Notamacropus eugenii: one gene and its partner. The protein of the gene in region 1 interacts with the protein of each later gene in a biochemical or structural test. Links are inferred from orthologs where the notes say so. Each region holds a gene or a part of one and is shown in the gene's direction. Other genes may lie near its edges. The genes, in order: CCKBR and CCK.

Region 1 (12,239 bases):
GGGAGAAAGGAATAATAGCTGATTGGACCAGACCAGACCACATGTGGCTTCACGGTTCCCCACTCCAGGACCAGACCTATGATTTCATTGATAGCAGAAACTCCTGTAATAATGCAAATGGACACTTGCTTTGTGGCACAGAGTATTAGAGAGTTGTCTGGGGGCAAAAAACGAGAGGCTAAATGACTTGCTTAGGGCCATGTAGCCAATACATGTCAGAACTTTCCAATTCCTAGGTCTACTTGCCACTGCCATACTACTACTACTGCTTATTACCACCGCCACCTACTACTACTCCCTTATAGTACCACTATTACTAGAAATACTACTAATAAATAGGGACTATTAGCAGAAACTGTATTTTGCCTCTTTTTGTATTGCCAGTGGTTAGCACAGTGCCTGGCATATGAGCAGGCACTTAAATGTTTACTACTGTATTTATTTATTACTACTACCATTTTATTATTATTATTACTGTTGTTTTTATTATAACAGGAAGAACAATTGACATTTATATAGAGTGCCTCCAGGTTTGCAAAGGACTTTACATGTGTTCACAATAACTGTGAGGCAAGTACCACATGGATTATTATCATCATTTTACATATAAAGAAACAGAAACTCAAATAAGTTATGTGACTTGTCCAAGGTCACAGAACTAGTAAGTGTCAAAGGTAAAACTCAAACCCAGAGCAGCCAGATTGTAAGGCAATGGTCTTTCCATAGCTAGGCTTGTGTTTGTCCTTCCTTGCCAAAGAAGACTGTGCCATCAGAGAAATGATGACATGACTTGCACTTGACTTTGTTTTGAGTGAGGGAGGGCCGTGCAAGGTCACTAGCCTCACTTCTCCTCCAGAGCCACCTGAGTCCAGTGACAAGATATTCATCAGGATGACTGGAGATGGCCCAGGATGCACTGGGAGACCTTGGGCCCTTTAGGCCAAGGTCTATGCAGGTACTCACTTAGGGTGAGGTAATGCCAATTCATTGAATAGACCTGTTTAAGAAGTAGCCAGGGCATGGCCCCTTTAATGAGGCAAAGAAAAAGAAAGACATCAGGCTGGGAGGGAAACAGCAACAGTCTGAAGAACAAAGAAGAAAGGACTAAAGAAGCGCAAGGTGTACAGCTTCAGTCATCTCGTGGAAGCTCTCACTGGTTTGAAAGGGCAGTCTGATAGGGTTGGAAGTGAGAAGAGAATAGATGACAGAAAGATGGACACATAATTAGATGGACAGGCAGATGGATGGATAGAGCATTTGTTAAGCACTTAAAGTGTGCTCCCCACAGTGCTAAGCACTAGGGATACAAATACAAGCAAGTCAGTCAGTACCTGCCTTCAAGAAGCTTACAGTATAATGAGAAAGATAACTCATGAAGGGGAATTGACAGAGGGGGGAGGTGTACCAGCTTTGAAATAGTACGGAGATGTGTGGAGTTGACTTGAGGGCCTGGCTCCTGACAAAATGTGACAAAAGTTCCCCTATAAGAGGGCAGCTAGGTGATGCAGTAAATAGAGTACTGGCCCTAGAGTCAGGAGGACCTTAGTTCAAATCCAGCCTCAGACACTTGACACACTAGCTGTGTGACCTTGGGCAAGTCACCTGACCCCAATTGCCTTGCCTTCCCCCCTCCAAAAAAAAAAATGTTCACCTATCAGAGTCCCACATCCAGGGATGTGCTGGAGCCAGCTCCAACCTCTCCTATTGAATTTTCAGTGTGAGCTGGAAATCCACAAACACTACATACAAGTCATAGCTTGATTTATTGTTTTGTTGATTGACTAGACTTGACTTAAGAAAGTGATAGAAAAAAATGTTAATCATGCAGTTTATATTTAAAAGTACATCCTGCATACAATTTTTTTTTTCTGAAAACTAGTTGTTAAATATTTACCAGAACACCACTGCTTGCAGCCCAGGCAGGTGAAGAATTCAAACTACTAGTAGGAGGAAAATGAGGATGGTAGCCAAGATAGAGGCAGTATGGTATAGAGATGACCAAAGAAAAAAATGTTTAGAAATGTTGCCCTGATGAATGACAGAAAGAGTAAGGTTGAATAGGATTCAAACAGAAGTAAGGGCCCAGCTGAGATTATGTGAGATTATTATCCACAGATAATGAAATCATCTTGATTTCAATATTTTCTCCAACTATGCTCAGCAGCCTTAAAACAAGATTGGAGGTCAGATGGTGGGAGTTACCAAGGGATAAGGATTTAAAGGTCAAGAGGAAGAAAGGAAGGGATGAAAGGGGGAGGGAAGAAGTATTTATTAACGCCATATACCAAGCATTTATTAACTATATGCCAAGCACTATCCTAAGCACTTTACAAATATAATTTCACTTGATCTTCACAACAACCCCATAAGATGTATGTGTGTGTGTGTATACATAGGCACACACATATATATACAAATATACACATACATATATGTGCTCTTATTATCCCCATTTTGCAACTAAGGAAACTAAGGCAGACAAAGAGTTGAAAGATCAGAGGGCAGAGGATTTAAAAGATTCTGGAGCAGTAGAAGGGACAAACCATGGGATCAAGGCTGGGAATGAAGGCAAGCAAAGCCAGAGGGAAAAAAAGTAGAACAGAAGAGTAGAGGTGACATAACAAAGGTCACCAAAATGGTGACGTGTTAGTTTAGTGTGAATAAATGCACAAGAGAGGGAAGGGAAGAAAAGTCAGAGATTAGAATTTCAAAGTTCTGGACCCTAAAGTGGGGGTGTGGAGCTCTCAGCTAAGTCTGGCCTTTGCCTGAGCACATCCAGGAATAAGGCGATCTATTCCATTTTGGTACAGTAATTAACTGAGAATTTTCTTCTCTTCATTGCTCCTAATGAAGAATTGTAACATCCAATTATGACCCCACAAAATGTGCCCAGGACTATAAAAAATACCCTTAAATCAACTTTTATGATTAGTTCAGATGAGAGAGCCCAAGGGAGAAAGGTGACATAGTCATTGTTTATACTGTATGAGCTCAGGTTCACAGTTCCTCCTACTTGTTATCAACTCTAGGGTCCCTGAGGAACTTAACATCACCTTATTAGCTGTTGCAGGAAGACTTTTAGTTCCATTTTCGTCTCTGTAGTCTTAGGTCTGAGAGGCAACAGGCAGAGTGGATAGAGAGACATCCTTGAAGTCAGGGTGATCTGGGTTTGAGTTTTGCCTCTGACATGACCTGGCATGACCTGACAGAACCTGATCCTAGGCAAGTCATTTAACATCTCAGTTCTCGAGGGCCAAGAGTCTACAGTCTAAGACTATAAACTGCAGAGAAAATGCCAACCTGAATTTATAGAGGGAGTTCTTCCTCTCCTCTTCCCCTTCGAGTATCCTATATCAAGGAAATCATAGGTCCATTTCCTATCTGGGGTATGGCTAAGAGGCTATTGGGTAGGGCAGTAGATGGCACACTGGGCTTAGAGTCAGAAAGGCCTGAGTTCATGTCCTTCCTCAAATACTTACTAGCTATGTGACCTTGGGCAAATCACTTAACTTCAATTTCCTTAATTGTAAAGTGAGGATATTAATAGTGCCTTCCTTCCAGGGTTATTGAAGGATCAAATGAGATATTTGTAAAATGCTAAATACAGTGCCTGGCATATAGGAGGCACTTAATGATTGATTATTTCCTCCTTCCTATCTTAGGGGTTGCAGTATCAGGGCTTCATATGTGCATTCAAACCTATTAGGTGTATTAATGACTCTAGTCAAAGCCTGAGAGGGTCATTTGACATAGTCTATCTGTCCTAGGGATCACAAAGATAATGAGAGAAGCTGTAGGGGCACGTGAATGATCCAATGATCTCATGAGGGGCCCGCAGCAGGACATGTTATGATTCTAACCCACAGAAGTTGGGACTCAGGGAGGCCAAATCTTGTTCCAACCTACCTTTCCAGCTATATTTCATATTACTTGCCTCCTTTCTGGCCATATTTAATTTTACTCTCCTTAATAGTTCTATCTTCCAGCCAAATGAGATATTTGTAAAATACTGAGCACAGTGCCTGGTACTTAATAGGCAACTAATAAAAGCTTGATCTTTTCCCACAAATAGATTGCTATCTGTTCCTCAAATTCAATATTCTATGGGAAGGCTCAAAGACTAAGAAGTTTGTTTCTGAATACACATACACACACACGATAGGTTGAAGCAAAGGGCAATTCCTCTTCACAATACTGCTCTATCTAGGGTTTTTGTTCTTGTCATTTCCCCTTCCTTCCCCCTTTCATTTGAATGGGAAACCTAAAGGATCTTGCATGGTTGGGGAAATTATAGTACCTGAGACCTATCTCACTCTTGTGAAATTTCTTGGCAAGGTTTTCCCATGAAAAAAAATGTCATTTGAAAGCACAGTATCTCCCAAAGGAGTTGAGCAGGAGATTACAAAGAATTTCTAACCCTAAATCAAATAGTTTGCTGGGCCAATGAACTGTAATTCAGCTCCAGATGCAGAATTTTCAAGTACCTGTAGGTGTTACTTAGCTGTCTAGCTGTTCTGTGTTCCAAAAGAGCTTGGACTTTAGAAAGAAGGACCATGTTTGTGTAGAAAAAAGCTATGTACAAGTCAGACTTCAAGATTCGATGGATCCTTTTGGAGAAGAGGCATCCAAGAGTTTGTTTTTTTTTCTAATCTATATTAGGTATATGAAAGACCTTGATGCCCTCACTTAAATGGAAGTTTAATTATCTGGGCTATAAGCTAAAAGAGATAGAATCTACTTTCCCTCTTAAGGGAAAGAAGTAGTACAACAGTACCTAGCAGTAACCACATACCCAATGGAGTACCACTGAACAGAGAGAGACATACAAGACATTTTGGAAAGCAGATCCAATGGAAGCGGGTTAATGATATCACCAGAAGACATTGGCAATATTGACACATCAGAAGCCTTTCCATAAATGTGCCCTGTCCACACAAGTGTCCTAGGAATGTCCACTCTTCCCACCTTGAATACATATTTTTGTATGCTCTAGGTTTATGGGGGAAATGTTCTATTACTACTTATCTTCCTATGCTATTTCATTAAATAGCTTTGCTTTGAACTAAACATTTCCTCTGGCTGACTAGTAAAAGTAAATACATTATTAGGGGGCTCAATAACTATGGTTTTTGTGTGAATTTAGAGAGAGTCCTTTAACTTGAAGTATCTTGTCTGGAGTAACCCACATAGAAGCAAAGGTTGCCTGTAGGTACTCTTAATTCCATCATCTATGTGTGTTGTTGTTTGTCCTTCATTTTTGAAGAGGATCAATGACATCACGAGGTGATGTCTTGACTTGTGCAAAAATTAGATTTAAGTGAGTTAGAGTTATACAAAGTCGTCAGCTCTACTCTGTCTTACAAGTCAAAGGAATCCAGTGGCAAGACAAAAGTCAAGACCGCTGGTGATGGCCCAGGATGCAATGGATGACCTTGGCACCTTCCATGTCTGACCAAGCTCTAAGCTCCCCACAGCACCTGCTTCAGCCACCTTCATGGTCGTTGAAACAAATTGCCCATTCCACCAAGAAAAGTATTCACATATGTGAGGTAGACACCCCCTAACTCATCGATAGGTCTGAGGCCTGTTGGTTAACCTCAAAACCTGGTTTAGAGTCTCTACTGAGACAGTTTTACTAGGGTGTGGCCACTGCACATACTGTAGCTTCTTGGAGCCACAGGTGAGAGTTGAGTGCCAGATGGACACCAAAGGTGGATGAATAGCCCTGAAAAGGACTCGGCAAGCCCTCACACTAGAGGTGCTAATTCTCCTTAAACACCCCATATACCCAGTTTTTAGGTGTACATTATTGCAAGCTGTACCTGACATCCAGAATGGGCTCTCATCTCCCTCTGTCTTTAAGATAACTTATCTTTTTTTTTCAAGTATCAGGTTATGTGCCTCTTTCTCAGTGAAGTATTCCTTGACCTGACTCTATCATTCCTCATATTACATTATATTTACCTATCTGTGTAGATCTCTCTCTCTTAAAATACAAGCTCCTTAAGAGGAGAGATTGTTGTGTTAGCTATTGACCCTCTAGTGCCCAGGGCATTCTATTTTGCATTGAGCTCACAACAAATTGGTGAGCCAAATTGGATTGAACCTCATGCTGTGCTATGATTTAAGGGTTCCATCATTTCTGTTCCCTAAATTCTAAATCTCTAACTCTTGTTTTCTCTCTGTCTCTTCTCAATCTTCATGCCCCCATCCCCATCTCTCATTCGCCCCCCACACCCACCCTAGTCTCCTTCATTTCTGTTCCTGCCTAGGCCCTTAAACTCTGTCCCATACTCCCAGGTTCCTTAATTTGTCTTCCTTCAATGTCATTCACCCTTCCCCCTTCTCAATGGGAAAATATCTGCTGGTTATCAGTATTTCCACCTGGGACTCCTTAGCTAGAGCAAATAGGGCTACAGGCCCTAGGATCTGAGAGTCAGCAGAGCTGGGTGAGGTAGCAGTGCCAGGAGACACTGGACTAAGCCTAGGACAAAGTCTGGAAGTAAGGTGGGCATCCTTCCCACAGAGTAGGTGTCCTCCCAGCTGCATCTCAGCTCTCTTCACTTCCTGCCCTTCCCTGCTGCAACTTACCTGGGTCACAACTTTCCTTCTGAATTGGAATTCTTAAACTGCTCCCATCCTCCCATCCCTGCCCTTCTTCCCTTCTACCCTGCCCATCCCTTCAGTCCCATCAATCCTCAGTCTTTGGGGGCTATCAATCATGAGGGAAGGGACACTAATGGGCTTTTTTCCCTGAAAGATGGGGGTGGAGGGGTGGAGGAAGGACACAGTATCCCTGGAGCCAAGGAGATGATGAAGAGACTAAGGAGAGGGTTGGGGAGGGGGAGATGCCCTCACAGATAGGGCTGGAGGCCAAGGACCTGGCAAGCATCTCCATCCCTTTGGCACCCCCTCCTATTTTTCTCATCAATGCATCCCCTGTCTTCTCAGTCCTTAGGATCTGGTGCCTCTTTTTCAAGACAGCTTACCCATTCTTACCTTTAAGGAGACTGAACAAGCCCAGGATGGGTCCTGTGATACTAGAGGAGGTGAGATGAATGCTGGGGGTCACCATCCTCTCCTCACTTCACCCATCACCTTCACCCCCAACCCACTTTGGCTTCATCTTTGTCCTCCCATCCTCTGCCCTACCCTCCTCCCCGTGGGAAGCCCAGGCTGGTTATCTACATCTCCACCTGCTCCCAAGAGCAAACAGAGGGAGGGGAGAGGTGGTGGTGGCAGCACTGGCACTACCAGGTGCCAAAGGGAGCTAGGGACTCCTCTTTTACTGGTACTCTGCCCCTGGGAAATTTCCACTCATTGGAGTCCTTCCTAAGGTCAGAGTCCTTACTACATCTCAGCTCCCTGAAGTCTATCCGCTGATGAAGAGTATTTGAGTTACTGTAAAGGACTATTTGAGTTGGTGTCATTGCGCCCTGGTCTGTCATTGGGGGTGTTACTGTGGCTCTAATATTACTAGGACCAGAAGTGTGACTGGTTATGACGTTGGGGCCAAGGTATCACTGAGTCCAGAGGTGTCACTGAATAGGTTGTCACTGAGATTTCATTAGTGGCTGTTATTGAGTCAGATGTCTTTGGAGCAAAGCTATTATTGGGACTTGGGATGTCATTGTGTCTCTAGGGGTACTACTGGGGACAGCCAGGAGTTATAAGAGGGGTGTGCTGGGACACAGGATTCTAAGTGAATGGCTGTGAGCCTTCCCTGCTCCCAGTCCGCACCTCACACTTGCCCCCAAATGAAACACGACTCATTGGTGTCCCACTCTACATTTTGGTGCCCCATAGGTCAATACGGTAGCATAGCTGAAGTACAGTACAATTAAAACGTCAGATCTTGTCTCCTACCACCCTTCCTTGCCTCCCCCCGTCCCCCATCAGCAGTGGCAGCCTCAGCCCCGCGCCTGACTCCCTCCAGAAACTGGGGCTGGAGCAGCAGTATAGAGCACCTCCATCCCCCTACGCCCACCCCCAGGCCGAGCGGCCGCGCTGCAGAGAGGGGGGCGGGACCCCAGCTCTGCTTAGCTCTGGAGGAGAGGGGCGGGGCTCCCCAGGCCACCCCAGCCCCAGCACCAGCAGATCCCGCTGCGGAGGGAACGAGGCTGGGAGTCCCCTGGAAAGGGGGAGGAAGATTTTAGGGGTTTGGGGGAGCTGAGGCAGAAAGACACAGGGCATCGAATGACACTGGGAGAAAGCCAAGGGAAAAGATTTGCGGGGAGTCAAGGAGAGACCCAGGGGTAGAGAGACGGGAGGAGAGGCACACGCAAAGGGAGGGACGGAGAGACGCAAGGAGAGAGGGGGAGAAATCCGCGTGGGAGCGCAAGGTGCCGGCCGGAGGCAGAGGGCGGAGCGGACACACACCAGAGCCGGCCAGGTCAGGGGCACAGAAGCGACAGACGCGAGAGCAGGTGGAAGCGGTGGGAAACGGCCCCCTAGGTTCCCGGTCTTCCGAGGGTCTTGTCCCAGGCCCGCCTCTACCCTGGGGCCATGGAGCTGGAGCTGAATCGGAGCGTGCCAGAGCCAGAGTCCCAGTGCGGCCCGGGGCCCCTGTCCCCCAACAGCAGTGCTAACAGCGGTGCCAATAGTAGCTGCGGATCTCCCCGAGGAGGCTCTGGAGCCAGCAGGACGCCCCGAGGTAAGTGTTCCCCTTCTTTGATGCCTCTTGGCCCCATCTCTCTCCCATTCCCGTGTCCCCTTCATCTAGGACCCTTTCCCTCTGGGCCCCAACCCCCATTTCCCACCTCTCCTTTCTCCAGCTTTCTCTGCATGTCCCTTACCCCTGATGCCCCAGGGACCCTACCACAAGCTCCAGAATGCAAAGCCCAAGATCATGGAGGTGGGGTGAGGGGAGGAGCAGGGGTAGGATGGCAAGACTGTCAGAGAGCACTAGAGGAGTATTTGTGAGCCTAAAGGGGAGTTGCGCTGTTGATCAGGGGGCTAACCCCGTAAGGAGAATTCGTGATCTGCAAAGACTTAGAAGCTTTCTGCGTGTAGGGTCCAAATGGAGCGCGCACACACACACACACACACACACACACACACACACACACACACACACACACACACACACACACACACACACACACACACACACACACTAAATCTGTTGTTGAAGCTAAGAAGCTGCCAGAGCTGAGGAGGCACTAGAGGCTGAGAGGAGTGGATACCCCTGTTCACTGAACTCCAAATCTTTCGGACCCCCTCCCCCTGGAAACTGGGACCTTTCTCCCCAGGGTTTTCCTCAAAACATTTCTCTTGCTGGAAACTGACCCCACTCCCTGTCCCATGTCCTGTTCTTTCCCTTCCCCCAGCAGCCTGTCTCTACAAAAGCATGTCTGTCGCTCACCCCATCCCCATTCCAAGACTGCTCATTCCTCTCACATACACTCCTGTTACTCTGAGCTTAGTTCCCTCAAATATCTCATTCAAAATCCCTTCTTCCTCATCTCCCCTGGCTTCTTGGCCTCCCATGTCACTACCATTCTCTCCATCTCCCCACACAACCTTGTGGCATCCCTGCCACACCCCTTCATCCACCTCTGTATAGTTTTTGCCACCAGCTGATCCTCCTTGTGTTCTTGGCCTCTCTGCCCCTCCCCTTCAGAACCCCCTTCTACCTTCCACAGGCTCCTGGCCTCTTTGCTACCCCTGGTGCCTTTCACCTTCACTTCAATCACCATCCTTCATTTCCTGGAAGACCTGAGTCACCTTTTCCAAGGTGCCTTCCCAATTCGACTCCCCTTCATTCATACCCTTCATCTGGGAATCCTTCGGGGCTTATGGAAATTGAGCAATTAATTTGTCCTTGCTTGTTATTTTCTTATCTCTCTATCCAGAACATATAACTTTCCCAGGGCAGCTATATCTCTCACTGAATGGATGTTTGAATGAATGGTAAATAAAAAACCAAAAACAACTGAAAATCATAAAGTGCTACATATGTCATGTGATATAAATAAAAATAATATATTAGTTACTTAGACAGATGAAGATAGAGGAAAGATACAGAGATGGATAGAGGCATACTAGAAGCTTTCAATATTTTTTTTGGTCCAAGAATCACTTTGGTCAAAGATCCCCAGAGGAATTCCCCTTGTTCCCTTGGCATGTCCCCTAACCAGTACAATATGGTGGATTTGGAGTTTAGAGGAGACCTGAATCCTTCCTCTGACACCATCTAATATATGATCTTTGTCAAGAGATTTAGCTACTTTAGGCCTCAATTTCCTCATCTACATGATAAGGAGTTGAACTAGATGCCCTCAAAGGTCCCTTCTAGCTCTGAATCAATAACTAACCTAAAATGAGGGGGATAAAAGTCTAGAGTGCCCTCCTCAGAGGGTTGTCATGCAGGTTAAATGAGACTGTATTACAGCATTTTGCCAACCTTAAAGGTATTTCCAGTGATAGTACTAGTATGGGCTAATGGTCAGCCTTGGATCCAGAAAAACCCAGTTTAAAGTCCTGCTTCTGACAAAGACTAGCTGTGTGATCAGGAGGCCAGTAAGTCACTTCACCTCTTAGTAGCCCCAATTCTCACAACTATAAATTATAAACCAGGGAGTTTCCACATATAGGGATTCCTCCAATTAAAAGAAAAAAAATACCTCTGGAACAGAGAAACAGAGCTTATAAGACCTCATGAAAGGATGTCTTTATGTCATATCAGAAATAAATTAGTAATTCCTTCTTGGAACCAGAGTGTAGATAGGACCACCTATGAAATAATATAGAGACAGGAATATATGTGAGAGACATAGGAGTGTGTGTGAGAGACAGACTAACAGAAAGACAGAGTGTGCTTATGCATGAAAAAGACAGGTTCTGTGTGTGTGTGTGTATGTGTGTGTGTATGTGTATGAGAGAGAGAACTGAAGTATATATAAAGAAAAGGGAGAGAGGACTGAGCTACAGTATGTGTGTATGAGAGCATATGGGAAGGCTTCTGAGGTACAACAGTGTGTGAGAAACAAAGAGGAAAGGAAGACTGCATTTGTGTAAGAGAGGAAAGGGGGGATTCTAAGGGACTGAGGAGTATGCATTTGTGTGAGGGTGTGGAGTGGAGGAAGCTGGGAGATGGAGAGCTGTTAGTGCAAGAGAGTGAGGGAATGAGGTAGGTGACTGGAAAACAAACAGACTTAGAAATAAGACCCAGTAGCTGGACTCATATAATGAACAAAGGGAATGTCCCCTGCTCTGTGCTCATCATACTCAGTTCAGCCTGTGTATTTAAATTGGCTTTGGCCATCATCCTGGATGAAGACAGTTGAGGCTGAGAAGGGTCAAAGGATATAGCTTCTCCCTTCCCAGACTAAGCTCTGCCCCAGAGTCCCAAAGTTCACCAGTTGTATCTGGTGCTTTGATCAGCCTGTGCTCCTTCCCTTCAGTCCCATCTCCTTCTTTCCTTGTCCTTCTACTTTCCCTAATCTGCTTCTCCTCTCCAAAGGAAAGTTCTTTCCAACGTGGTCCCCATATCCACCCCTATGGCTGCTAGAGAGCACTGCACTGACATTGCAGCTGCTTCCTTTGCTGCAAAGATCTTAGCATCACAGATCCAAATCTGGGAGGGAACTCAAAAGCCACCTAGTTAACTCCCAGCCCCCTTTTTGTGGATAGGCCTAGCAAGGGCAAATGATTTGCACAAGGTCACATAGGAAGTAAGCCTTGGAGGAAGAGTTTAAAGCCCTTTTACTGCTGCACTGTCATTAACTTGCTCTGTGACCTTGAGCAAGTCATTGTATCTTTCAGGCCTTCATTTCTTCATTTGTACAATGAGGTGAGTTCCAAAGAGAGGTCAGTGTTTCAAAAAAAATGAAAAAAGAAAAGAAATTGGACACTTGGGGCTTGGAATATTTCATTACAAAAATCAATCACATTTCCATAGTTTTAAAGATTTACAAAGCACTTTCATCATAAGAAGTATATAAATAGGTCAAATATGATTACCACTATTTTTAAAAATGGCTAGGACAGATGACAGTAGAAAATAAAGGCCTTTTAGGCAGGAATTGCTTCACTTCCTGTGTGTACTGCCAGGATTTATCACAGAACCTGTGCTATCATAGACACTTGAAATATTCTTATTAATGGATTGATTGATGAGAAAAAGAAGAAAACTGTCTCCCACAGTAAGTGTTTTTACACTGAGGTGTAATAGAAGAAGCTTTAGACTTGAAGCTGAAGTTGTGACTGGATCTGTGGGAGGGCAGCTTAGCAGGAAA
Region 2 (12,508 bases), on another chromosome or scaffold:
TGATTAGAGAAACACTAATTAAAACAACTCTGAGGTACCACCTCATACCTATCAGATTGCCTAACATGATAGAAAAGGAAAATGACAAATGCTGGGGTGGGAGGTGGGCATGTGAAAAATTGAAAAATTATGGACTGATCTAACCATTCTGGAGAACAATTTGGAACTTTGCCCAAAGGGTTATAAAACTGTATGTACCCCCTTGACCCAGCAATCCCACTACTAGGTCTGTATCCCAAAGAGATCAAATAAAAAGGAAAATGACCTATGTGTACAAAATATTTATAGCAGCTCATTTTGTGATGAAAGAGGATTGCAAACGGAGAAAATGCCCATCAATTGGGGAATGGCTAAACAAGTTATGGTATATGAATATGATGGAATTCTATTGTACTATAAGAAATAATGAATGGGATGATTTCAGAAAAACCTGAGAAGACTTATATGACCTGATGCAAAGTGAAGTGAGCAGAGCTAGGAAAACAAGGAACACAGTAACAGCAACATTGTAATGACTATCAACAGTGAAAGCCTTTGCTTCTCTGATCAATATAATGATCCAGGATGATTCCAAAGGACTCATGATGAAAAAGGCTATCCACTTTCAAAGAGAGAACTGATGGACTCTCAGTGCAAGTTGAAGTTTTTATTTTATTTTTCTTGCTTTTTTCACAACATGGCAAATATAGAAATATATTTTGCATGACTTCATATGTATAGTAGTTATCATATTTCTCACCTTCTCAATGGGTGGGGAAAGTAGCAGGAAGGAGAAAATTTGGATCTCAAAACAAAAATAATTTTTTTAATGGCCTCAAGTGACTAGAACATGAATTCATTGGAGACTCAGACTTTGCTAATCCAGCAAGGGAAATTTGCAGAGGTTTATGGGTAGAAAGAGCCCTACACTTGGAGACAAATGACATGGCAGCTCTATTCACTAGCTACAAGACCTTAGGCAAGTCATTTCACTTTATGAGGCCCAAATTTCCCCATCTGTAAAACTGAGGAGGTTGGCTAAGATGGTATCCAATGTACCTTCTACTCATAAAATTGGTGGGTTTAATAATTTAATTCCTTCTAACTCAGCTAATGGTAGGCACTGGCTGAAGATCAGTTATTGAACTTGCTAAGAGTTCCAGTAATTCCTCCTATGATTCTGGAATGGAAAAGGGAATGGAAAGCAACTCTTGTCAGCTTTCTCCTTTTTTTATTTCTCCATAAACATGACAATCATTTCATGTTGTTCCTGGGTCACAGGATAGTGGATATCTATCTGCTGATTTTATGATGAACAAAAAGGGGGACTTTTTCTGAAATATTTGCTTTGAGAGACCCAGAATACAAAATCCTAGTCCAGTCCTCTCCTTTTGCAAAGGTAAACACTCAGGGTCAGAGAGATGAAAGGATTTGTTAGTCAGTGACATCTTTGAAGTTTCCCCTTTGGAGATGAGGTAATGTCAACCTTAGTGTCCACGAAGTAACTAGATTCCCTGTTTAAACAGGTTTCTTTTTTCCTAGAAATTTTTTTCTTTTTTTTCTTTTTCTTTCTTTCTTTTTTTTTGAACAGGACCTATGATTTTATTGCAATGAGAAAACTCCCTCTACCGTTGCAGATTGGCACCTGAGTTTCTGAGAGTTGCCTGAGGCAGGTTGAGAAGTTAAGGGTCCCACAGCTCATAGTCACAGCTAGGGTGCCTCAGAAGCTAGACTTGAACCCAGGGCTTCCTGGCTTTGGAGGCCAGAACTCTATCCATTACAGTAGTTTACCTCTCTAGAATTAGCTCAGAAATTTTTTACCACAGTTAACAAACAAAAAAATGCACCTAGTTACTCCAACCAATCTACATGAACCATAACAACCTTATGGATAAGTCACTTAAAATCATTTAATCAACTCCTCTTCACATCTCCTACAATAAAAAGTACTGTGTAAATGCTTGACTTTAAAAATGCAAGGAAGATGAGAGCTATGCAGTCTTCACCTGGGTCTCCCTCGGGGAAGGACAAAGTAAATGTATAAGGCTCCCACGTCCAAATGTCTCAGTGTCAGAGATCTCTCACACCTTCCTGGGCCGGGAGAGGCAGACTGGATTGCGGGAGAGGACCGACTACAGGAAAGGAAAGGAGGGAAAAGGAAAGCAAAGCAAAGCCAGAAGGAAAGAAATGAAGAGGGAAGGAAGAGAAGAGAAGAGAAGAGGAGAGGAGAGGAGAGGAGAGGAGAGGAGAGGAGAGGAGAGGAGAGGAGAGGAGAGGAGAGGAGAGGAGAGGAGAGGAGAGGAGAGAAAGAGAGAAGAGAAGAGAAGAGAAGAGAAGAGAAGAGAAGAGAAGAGAAGAGAAGAGAAGAGAAGAGAAGAGAAGAGAAGAGAAGAGAAGAGAAGAGAAGAGAAGAGAAGAGAAGAGAAGAGAAGAGAAATCAGAACTACTGAAGGACCTTCTCAGCCGAGATTTGCTGTCCCTGGTGAATTGCGGAGGAGAGGGAAGTAAAGCGAACTAAGCTGCTTAGCTTGGGAAAGAAGAGGGGCGCGCGAGAGCCTCGCCACGGAGCAGGGCGCATCGAAGGAGAAGGGTCCCTGGCACCGGGCGCACAGGAGCGGAGCGACGGAGCATGGAGCCGGGAGCACGAAGGAGAGGGGAGCGGGGAGCAGCCCAGCACCGCGCAGGGGAGCGCAGAGGGCATTCTGCGAGCCGACGCCAGAGGACAGCACGGCAGGTTGGCGGAGCTAGGCAGAGGACAGCCGCCTCACCGCGGCCGCCTCCCCGGCATGTCACTTTCCCCTCTCAACTATTGGACCAGAATGCTCCCCTGGACGTCCCCACCAACTCCTGGCCCGCCTCCGAGCGGGACAAACCGAGCGAGAGATGTTCTCGTTGATTCAGGACCCCAGGTTCTCACCCTGGGTTCAGGAGAGGGAATGAAGGTTCGAGGAGCTGCTGTTACCCCTGGTCTGCCGATCCCACATCTTTCCATTGGCCCACTTTCTCTACCAGCTGTGGCCAGCTGTACCACTGTTTTATCAGGGGTCCGTGGCTTCAGCTTTGGGGTAAGGGATGAAGAATGGTGAAAGTGGGGAGCTAGGGTCATTTTTTTTCCCCTCAAGCCCCAGGGATTCAGGGCAGGAAGCACAGACTTCTACTTCTGGGAATATGCCATAGACCGGGAAAAGAGGGAGGGGAAGGGGAGGCGGAAGGATCTTCAAGTAGGTTAGGAATTTCAAGTGCCCAATATCCTAGGATTTAGAGCTGCGGAGGACCTTAGAGAGGGCGTGTCCCCAGGGAACGGGGTCGGGAAGGTCTAGATTCAACAAATGGAGTTAAAAGTGCAGATGGCCCAAGGCAAAGGATTGTAAGGAATCTTGCTTCAGAATTGAAAGGAACCTCAGAGATCACGTAGGCGGGCTGGTCTTTTTACAAATGTAGAAGCTGAGGCCCAGGGAAGAGAAATAACGGCTTAGCTAAGGTCACACAGGGAGTTAGTAGCGAGTAGCTGTCCGAATTAGCTCCCACTTCTTTGGCACAAATTTCAGTATGCTTTCCACTGCAGGAGGATAGTAAGAAGCTTTCAAAAGGTCAAAGGCCAGATTGAAATTGATGTGAATGCCTCACCTCGGAACCACCCTGCCTACCCTGATCTGTGACTCCCCTCGTCCTAGATGAAAAATTGCCCTTCTGAGTTGTAACATACCCAGGGACAATCGGGTTCGAAGAATAAGAGCCCCTGCCAAGTTCAAATGAGTGGTTGGGAGACCGGCTAAGTTTAGAAATAGGAGTGTGTTGTGCAAAACTGGAAATAGGTCCTGAGGAGAGGAGAGAGTTAGACCAAAGTCATCCTCGAGTCTGTCCTTCCTCCCCGACCCCACCCCCACCTCCACTGCCCAGATACACATAGTAACTAATAAGTGGGTACAACCTCTCAAGGAGCGGAATCTCTACTCTGATCTTAGCTATTACACCTGGTACTTTGTATATGGGAAGGGAGGCTGAGACAGCCCATACCTGCTTCTGAAAGTTTGCTTCCTGTACCTAATTCAAGAAATCATACCTCCGGCCTAGTACAAGACTTTATTGACAGCCGCCTCGGTCAGATCTTCCTCTGAAATATTTAATTCACTCTATGGAGATACATTCCAGGCTCAGCCCTTCCTCCGACAGCCCTTTCAATGCAGTGGTAAAGAAGTCCATTATGACTCAGGAATGTCTTATGTTGGGAAGTGAAAGCAATCTGACAAGGGAGAAGAGATCTCCATAGCCTAGGCAAACTAAGGGTTGCTAAGCTGACTGGGTAGATACATATAGGAGAAAAGTTAGTTCCTGAATATCCTATACACAGGACTCAAGAGCAGCCCAAGATGGAGGCTAGAAGTTGGCCAAGGGTACCATGCTTGGGATAATTGAAGTACAGATTTAGAGCTAGATAGGACATTATCATCCGTAGAGTCACCTCTCCCTGCTTTTGCAAATGAGGAAACTGAGGCCCAGAGAAATTAAGCAATTAAAAAATTAAGTCCAGTCACATGGGTAGTATCAAAGTGAATAGGAGTTCACTGCTTCTAAATCAGTACTCCTAGGATGATTCCTCTGAGTTACCTGAATGAATTGGAAATAATATATATTTATTGTCCTTATTATGGGGTCATAAGTTTAGAGTTGGAATGGGCCTCAGAAGACTTAATCTAACTTCATCATCTTTCCATTGAGGAAACTGTGGTATAGAAAGGGTTAAATGACTTGCCAACACAAGTTTTTGTTTTTCAGTCTTTTTTTCAGTCATGTCCCACTCTTCATGATCCCATTTGGGGTTTTCTTGGCGAAGATACTGGAGGGGTTTCCATTTTCTTCTCCAGTTCATTTTACATATGAGGAAACTGAGGTAAACAAGTATTTTAAGACTCAAGTCTAGAACTCTTTACACACACAGTAGGCACTTAAAAATGATACAAATTAGCAAGCAGAAGATAGGAATTTTATCTAGGTGCCTATCAGTTCTTTCTTTCCAGGAGAATGTCACTTCTTTGACTAGAGGGACTGGTTGGGTTTTGTCTGTGGATCTCCAATACCTCACAGGTGGAGTAAGTGGCACATAATAAGCACACATTTAACACACGAAAGAATGAATGAAAACCCGCCTACACAGGCTAAGTGAGCATAAGGCTCTAAATTCCTTGCTACCATAAAGTTGGTGACTTGGAGACTGACAAAAACAGCCCTTTGTCTCCTTAACCCTAAGTTTATTTCTCTGAGGGAAGAAAAACAGATCTCATTGGTCCCATTTTACAAGTGATGAAAATGAAAGACAGAATAGATAGATAGTTGTGTGCAGAACACTTTTTAGTGATACTGGTAAGCATGAAGGTTCCTTATCCTGCAAAATATTGCTTCAATTCTCCTAGACAACTACTAGATGACTGGGTATCAAAGTGGGTAGAGCACTAGCATTGGACTCAGGAAGACCTGAGTTCTAGTCTCAACTCAAACACTAACCTTAGTTCGCTCATCTGTAAAATGGAGGTGATACTAGCACCCACCTCCCAGGGTTATTCTGAGTTAGGCAGCTAATATAGGTACAAAAGACAGAGAATAAATTCTGGCAAGAGAGGAGTTAACCAGTTCTTAAATGGTGTGTGTGTGTGTGTGTGTGTGTGTGTGTGTATGTGTGTGTGTGTATGTGTGTGTGTGTAGTTATATATATATATACATATACACACACACACACATACACACACACACACACACACACACACACACACATATATAGTGACCATTTTCCTCTGGGAGTTAAATTAATTTGTTCTGACCCTTTAGCATCTATCTGAGCACATGTTGATCCCCTATCTGCGTCAGCACTGTGTCAATAGATGACTCTACTACAGGCAGCAGGCTGGACTATTTAAGAGACAGCTTTTCCAAACCACCATAAGTTGTCTAACCTGGACACTCAACACATCTCTCTGGCTCGAAATAGGAAGTTGCTATCATATTTTTAAGGTAGGAAATTCGGAATTAACTCATTTTTATGAGAGGGATGAAATTGTCATTTACTGCCACAGGAATGCCTATTATCATGTATTTCTGGTGATCTATTTTCCATGTCTCTCATGGTTTTAAATTATTACTTATAACTGCATTTTTAACTATTCCTTCTTCAGACTTAGTCAAAATGAGAAACTATGACATTATTTTAAATAGCATTTTTAATGACAATGGTTAGTAAGTTGTAAGTGGAGTCAAATTGATTTGTATTTTTGAGGAAAAAAAGTTTAGTCTTCAAGGTATTAGCATCCTGTTCCCTCACAGATATAATCAAATACTGTAAAAGCTGTCCTTTAAAATGGGACTGAAATCATTTGAAGAAGTATAATGCAGGGTTGGGAAGGCTTTTAAAGTCTTGCCAAATAAAAATGCTGGAAGATTTTAAGGTTCAAAGTAGCTATGGAAATACCATTAAGCACTCCAGTGCTAGGAAAGTGAAAATTGCGTTTGCCCAGGAAACTAGTGTAGACCATTAATGTCTTCTCAAACGTGTTCTGATCTCTAGTGAGACCTCTAAGTCTTTCATATTTCTAATGAAGATGCATTTATTATGGTTAAGATTCAATGCTAAACCTTGTGTATTGCTTGTAAAAAAAAAAAACTGCTGTAAATGGGATTTTTTGTGGTTCTTGACTGCTTTTTAAAATGGATATTTCTTCCCAATTTAATCCAACACAATGGTTACTTAACTAAGGGGGAAATAAGTTCTCTGTTTGAGTCTGATTCAATGAATAGAATCTTCTTTTTAAAATGAATTCTCCTCCCTTTCATCAAAGGTTCTGCTGTCCTGTCTTTGCCTCTCCCCTACTATGAATCTTGTCCAGTATATCCAAGCTAATTAATGATGTTCCATTCAAACTAAAGGTTTCCTCCTAAAGATAGAAAAAAATAGAAGTTTTTCTCGGGGGGAGGAGAGGTGTTGGGGGGTGGATACTGCCTACTTTTTCATAAAGTGTACTTTGTCAGAAAGTAAGGACATATAGATGAAAAAACACTGGACTTCTAAGCTGAGAAACCATAGGCTTATAAAATCACAGATCTAACTGAAGTTCTAACTGAAATGGAGTTCAGGTTATCTAATTTAATCTCATTTTATAGAGGAGGAACTGAGACCCAAGAAGTCACGTGACTTGCCCCCAGGTCAGAAAGGTAACTCAGCAGTCCAGCTAGAATCTAAACTCAGGTCCTCTGCTTCCAAAGCTTTTGTCCTAGCTTCAACCAGTTCCTAACTGTACAACATTTGGTAAAAAAGAAAACAAAAAAACTGAACCTTTCTGGATCTCCGTTGTCTTCATCTGGGAAATGGGAAATTTGGTCTAGATTGGGATTTCTTAATCTGAGGTTCAAAGATATCAAAGGGTCCATGAACTTGGATGAGGGGGGAAAATCACATCATTATTTTCACTAACCTCTAACTGAAGTTTAGTGTTTCCTTCAATTATGAATTTTTTTTAAATCCTTATTATTTTGAGAAGGAACCCATAGGTTTCACTAGAGTGACAAAGGGATCCATGACACACCCAAAAAGCTTACAGATGCGTGCTAGGTACTTTAATCTGCCTCCTTGCATTCCCTCAAGACATATATTTCACTGGGGAAAGAATGAACAAAGCTAAAAAGGCTGGATGATCTGATTTATCTCTGAGATTCCTTCCACTTGGAAAATTCTACAATTCCAGTAAAGGCTCAGTAGACTCAATTAAAACAATAAAAAGACACTTTTATAGGCAAAGGGTCTGTCTCATAGCATCACCTGAAAATGTCCTTTGTATGCTATTTGTACTTTGTCACAAGCTCCTCTAGAGTGTAACCAGGCACCACCTTATCTCTTACCTGGGGTAGCCTCCTGCCAGTCTTCCTCTGTTTTCCACTGCTCCTTCAGCATAGCAGTCTTCTTTCCCCTAACTGCCTCTGAATTCCTTCCCTCCTCCTGCAGCTATGTACAGTAGCCTCAGCATCTGCGTGCTCCTCGCTGTCCTGTCAGCAAGCTCCTTGGGACAACAGCCAAAAGAGTCCAGCCATGCCAACCCAGGGACTTCCGAGCTGGAGCAGAGCCTGGCTGCCCAGCACCGGCATGTCCGTGCTCCTGCCTCCCCCAGTCAACTGAAGCCTCTACAGAGAGCTGATGGAAATGCGGACTCCAGGAGCAACTTCGGGGCTTTGTTGGCCAGGTACATCCAACAAGCCAGGAAAGGTAACAGAATCCCTCACCCTCTTCTCCCTCATCTCTTGCAAATATTTCTACAAGGCTTTTTTGCAATGTTCAGTAGAAAAACTCAGAAGTAAATATATTTATAGGAATAAGTTCCTTTTTTTTCTTTTCCTCAACACATATTTTGCAAGCAACAAAACCTGTAGCCATTTTTAGCATTCTAAGTGCTGAAATAATAATAATTAATGCTAGTGGCAGGTGATGTTTATGTAGCGTTCCTTAAGTTAAAGCTGGAAGACATTGTGGAGGTTTGCAAGGTAAACCTAATTAGTTAAGTCCTATTTCTCATTCCCATATTACAGATGAAGAAATTGAGGCTTGGAGTGCTACAAAGATTTTGTTATTATTTGGCACTGATTCTTAACCTGGGGTCCATGGACATCTTGGGGGTTTGTGGATAGCTTTCAAGGAGTCTGTGAACCTGGATGAGAGAAAAAAACTGCACCTATATCTTCATTAGCCTATGCTTTCCTCTTTATTTTATGTGTTTAAAAATATTATTTACTTCACAGGCTGCCAAAGCCATCTATGATACAAAAAAAAAAAAAAGATTAAGAAAACCCCTATTCTATTCTCAATGGGCAGAGAATGGGAGGAAGGGAGGGAAAGAACTTGGAACTCAGATTTTTTTAAAGAATGTTTAAAAAATGCATGAATAAATAAAAGGGGGAAACGAAATCTAAAATAAATATTTTTTTTAAAAAAACCCTATTGTATATGATGCTCAGTGACTAACTAGAGGGCCAGGCTATGAAAAGAAGAGTCACCAGTAATTCAGTTCCCCATACTGACATTATTTATTTGTTGAGGCTTCAGTTCTTTCTCTGAAGATGTTCATATTTCCTCAATGAATATTTTCACACCAAAACTGAATTAATTCCTTCAGATAATTAAAATAGGATAGTCATAAAAAACTTCTAACCCCTATTTTTTTTAACCAAATATATAGGATCAGTGTGGTACAGTGGGAAGGACATTAGAGCTGGAGTTCCTAGTCTGAATACTGAGCTTACCTTTTAATCCCCATGTAAGAAGCCACTTTGTTTCTCCTCAACCTCTGATTCCTTATCTGTAAAAAGAGGAAATTAATCTAGATGGCTTCCAAGGTACCTTCCAGCCCTAAAACTATGATCATACAATCCCTATGCATTTTGACTTTAAAATCGTGGAGGAACACCCAACGTGAATTTTAATAGACTTACAAGATTTGACAGAAATAGTGGCCCTTAGAATATTAAATTTTGCTGTGTCAGATTTCACCAAAGCAAGAATTAGAAGGAGTGAATGCTTCATGTTAAATGAATGCTTCTCTGCCAAGCTGAGAGGGATCATCCGTGGGTGAGAAGGACATTTGGGTTTAAAACCTTTAAAGACTATCACCATTGTGAAAGGATCTGATGATTTATTTCTTACTGTTTGAATAGAGATTGTTCACCAATTCCCTAAGAGATGAATGAACCATCATTTCTCCAGCATCTGACATTATTCCCTGGGAATAAATTAGGTTCTCAGAAAGCATCATGGACTGGGTTCCAGGAATCCTGGACTTCAATGCCATCTCTGTCCTCACACAGCTCAATGTGGAAAGAACAGAGATTCTAGAGGTTCTACCACTCAAGTCAGTCTCCCAACTTTTATGGTTCTTAAGTCAATAAGCAATTATTAAGATGATATTACATTTTAAAAACTGAGCCAATGTGCAGTCCACAGGGATCCTTATGTAATGGCTTCCATTGCTATTTGGGTTTGATGCCACTGTTAGGGAATTCCTGAATGAGGAGGCTTCCTCTACCAAGGCACATTGGCACCATTGAGTTAGAGTTGAGCAGACCACTGAAAGGTTAAGTGACTTGCCCAGGATCACACAACCAATATGTACCAGAAGCAAGACTTGAACCCATGTTTCCCTTATTTCTAGGGAGGTTTTCCATCCACTTCGCCAGTGCTGCCTCAGGCCAATAGTTTTAGTAATTGCTTCAAGTGGAACTACTTACATGTGACTTTCCTTTCATCCATATATACCTTCCATGTCATGAACTAAGTTTGAGATTGTATTCATAGGATCATGGCATATAAAGTCAAAAATGACCATAAGTTATCTAAGTTCAACCCTCTCAGCTAGCAGGTGAGGAAATTAAGGCAGAGAAATGAAGTGATTAACTCAGGATCTCATAGGTAGGAAAAAGAAAAGCAATGATTCAATCCTCTTCACTGGAACAAATGGGGAAGATGTGACTAAATCACACTTCTCTTGATAAGGATCTGGAGGTCTTAGTGGACCACAGGTTCAATACAAGTCATGGCAGTAAAAGAAAAAAAAATAGATAATGCAGTCTTGGGCAACATTCAGAAGGGCATAAAAAGAAGGAGATAGTCTACTTGCTGAATTCTGCCCTGATCAGGCCATATCTGGTGTATCCTGTTCCATTTGGGGCGCAGTATTTTAGGAAAGACTTTTGATAACCTCAGAAACATCCAGACAAGGGGAATACAGATGGTAAAAAAAAAAAAAAAAAAAAAAAAAGTCCTTGAGATCTTGCTACAAAAAATTAATTGGAGGATCTGGGAATCTTTAGCCTGGAGAAGGGAAGACTTAGGAAATATGTGATATAATTAAAGTATTTTTTTAAGTATTAAGTATTTAAATATTTAAGTATTTTTAAGTATTTAGCTATTTTAAGTATTGAAGTATTAGAAAGGGCTGTCCTGTGAAAGAGCTGTAAGACATACTTTTCTTGGCCCCAGAGGGTGGTACTGAGTCATTGGCAAAGTATGTAAATGGGCAAATTTAGGCTGAATACAAGAAATTAAAAATCCCAACAATGAAAGCTATAAAAAAGTGGAATGGGTTGCCTCTGGAAGTCATGATTTCCTCCTCATTGAAGGTCTCCAAGTCAAGGTCACATGACCACTTGTTGAATCTGTTGCAGAGGGTCCTTATTCAGGAATGGAGAGAACTAGCCAATTTCCAAGATCCCTTCCCCCTCTGATTCCGTGATTCAGAGTCCAGTGAGGAATCTCTACTTATATCACAACCATATCCCCATCATATGACCCTATTAGGTGAAAAAATAGAGGATTTGTTCTTCTTAGAATTGTCTTCATATTTCCCATTAATTGCAGCCCTTTTAGCCAACTCTGAGTCAGAAGGTAAAGTTAGGTTGCCACTTCAGCAAATTGTCTTCCTCTTTCAGGAAATTGGTCAGAGTGGCATGCTGATTTTCCCTTCCTGCTAAGCCAGTGGAAAGTTAGAAGTCCTATGGCAAAGGTTGCATCAATTCTTTAATGATCTTCTAAGTTTTTGGTTAATTAGCTATAACAAGATGCTTGAGATGTGTCCTAGCTGTGTGACTTTGGGCAAGTCATCCTGGTTCTCAGTTTCCCCATCCATGAGATGAGGGGGAGGGACTAGAGGCCCTTCCCAGATCTAAATCTGTTCTTGTCCTAATCCTTTGCCCTTCATTCACAATCTCTTCTTTTGCTGTAAGGATAAGCTCATTTTGCAAAACCAAATGAAATGTGCCTTTGTCACATAAACTGCTCATATTACAAGGGTGTCACTAGGCTCTCCTTCAAAATTAATATGAAACATCGACATGTAACTCTCACCCACTTCATTTGAATATTTTGAGATGGTTCACATTTCAGACTTCTAAGTTGTATGTAAAGTGAGATATGAGTTTACAATTAAGCCAAGTGTGTCGCTGCAGGTTATCAAATATCTCTTAGATAAAGGGCCTAAAAAATATTCTGTCTTCCATCTGTTCCTGCCTGGTCTGTGTTGTAAAGTCTAACTGAACTGTACCTTTGGAAGCTCCTCTATGACACTTCCCACCAGAACCATGGCAATATCAAAATTCCTGTGCTGGCTTCCTGGCCCAACCCCAAAGGCACTGAGTCCACTTTCCTATTACAAGGTATTTTCTTTGCTTGAATAAGCAGCAGTATCACTGGGGAGGTTTTGATTGGCCAGCCCTCTATGGAGGGGCATTTATCCTAACTATAAATACCACATTTGCAAAGCAAATCTTGAGCTTATATATGTTACAGTTAAATTCTGAAAATTGGCTAATTTTGACAGGGAGCTGAATAATTATAGATTATGACTGAATTGACCATCTGTTCCCAACCCACTATTTTATTTATGGAACAAATAAACATTATGATCTGTCAGCATAACTAAGACAAGTAACAATGGAGTATCTGATAAAAGACTGACCTTAAATCTGGAAGTCCTGGGTTCAAGTCCTGCATCTCAAATGTGTG

Evidence for each region.
Region 2: the proteins of CCKBR (region 1) and CCK form a complex in vitro, tested with the Homo sapiens proteins (3 studies listed by BioGRID). The link is inferred for Notamacropus eugenii from reciprocal best matches to the Homo sapiens genes CCKBR and CCK.

The regions. Positions count from the first base shown.
Region 1 is NC_092876.1:89,302,968-89,315,206, reverse strand, and holds the start of CCKBR (gastrin/cholecystokinin type B receptor), read left to right. Parts: upstream 1-7,367; 5' UTR 7,368-8,505; coding exon 8,506-8,653; intron 8,654-12,239. UniProt on the Homo sapiens protein: Receptor for gastrin and cholecystokinin. The CCK-B receptors occur throughout the central nervous system where they modulate anxiety, analgesia, arousal, and neuroleptic activity.
Region 2 is NC_092874.1:45,374,387-45,386,894, reverse strand, and holds the start of CCK (cholecystokinin), read left to right. Parts: upstream 1-5,870; 5' UTR 5,871-5,985; intron 5,986-7,966; 5' UTR 7,967-7,968; coding exon 7,969-8,224; intron 8,225-12,508. UniProt on the Homo sapiens protein: This peptide hormone induces gall bladder contraction and the release of pancreatic enzymes in the gut. Its function in the brain is not clear.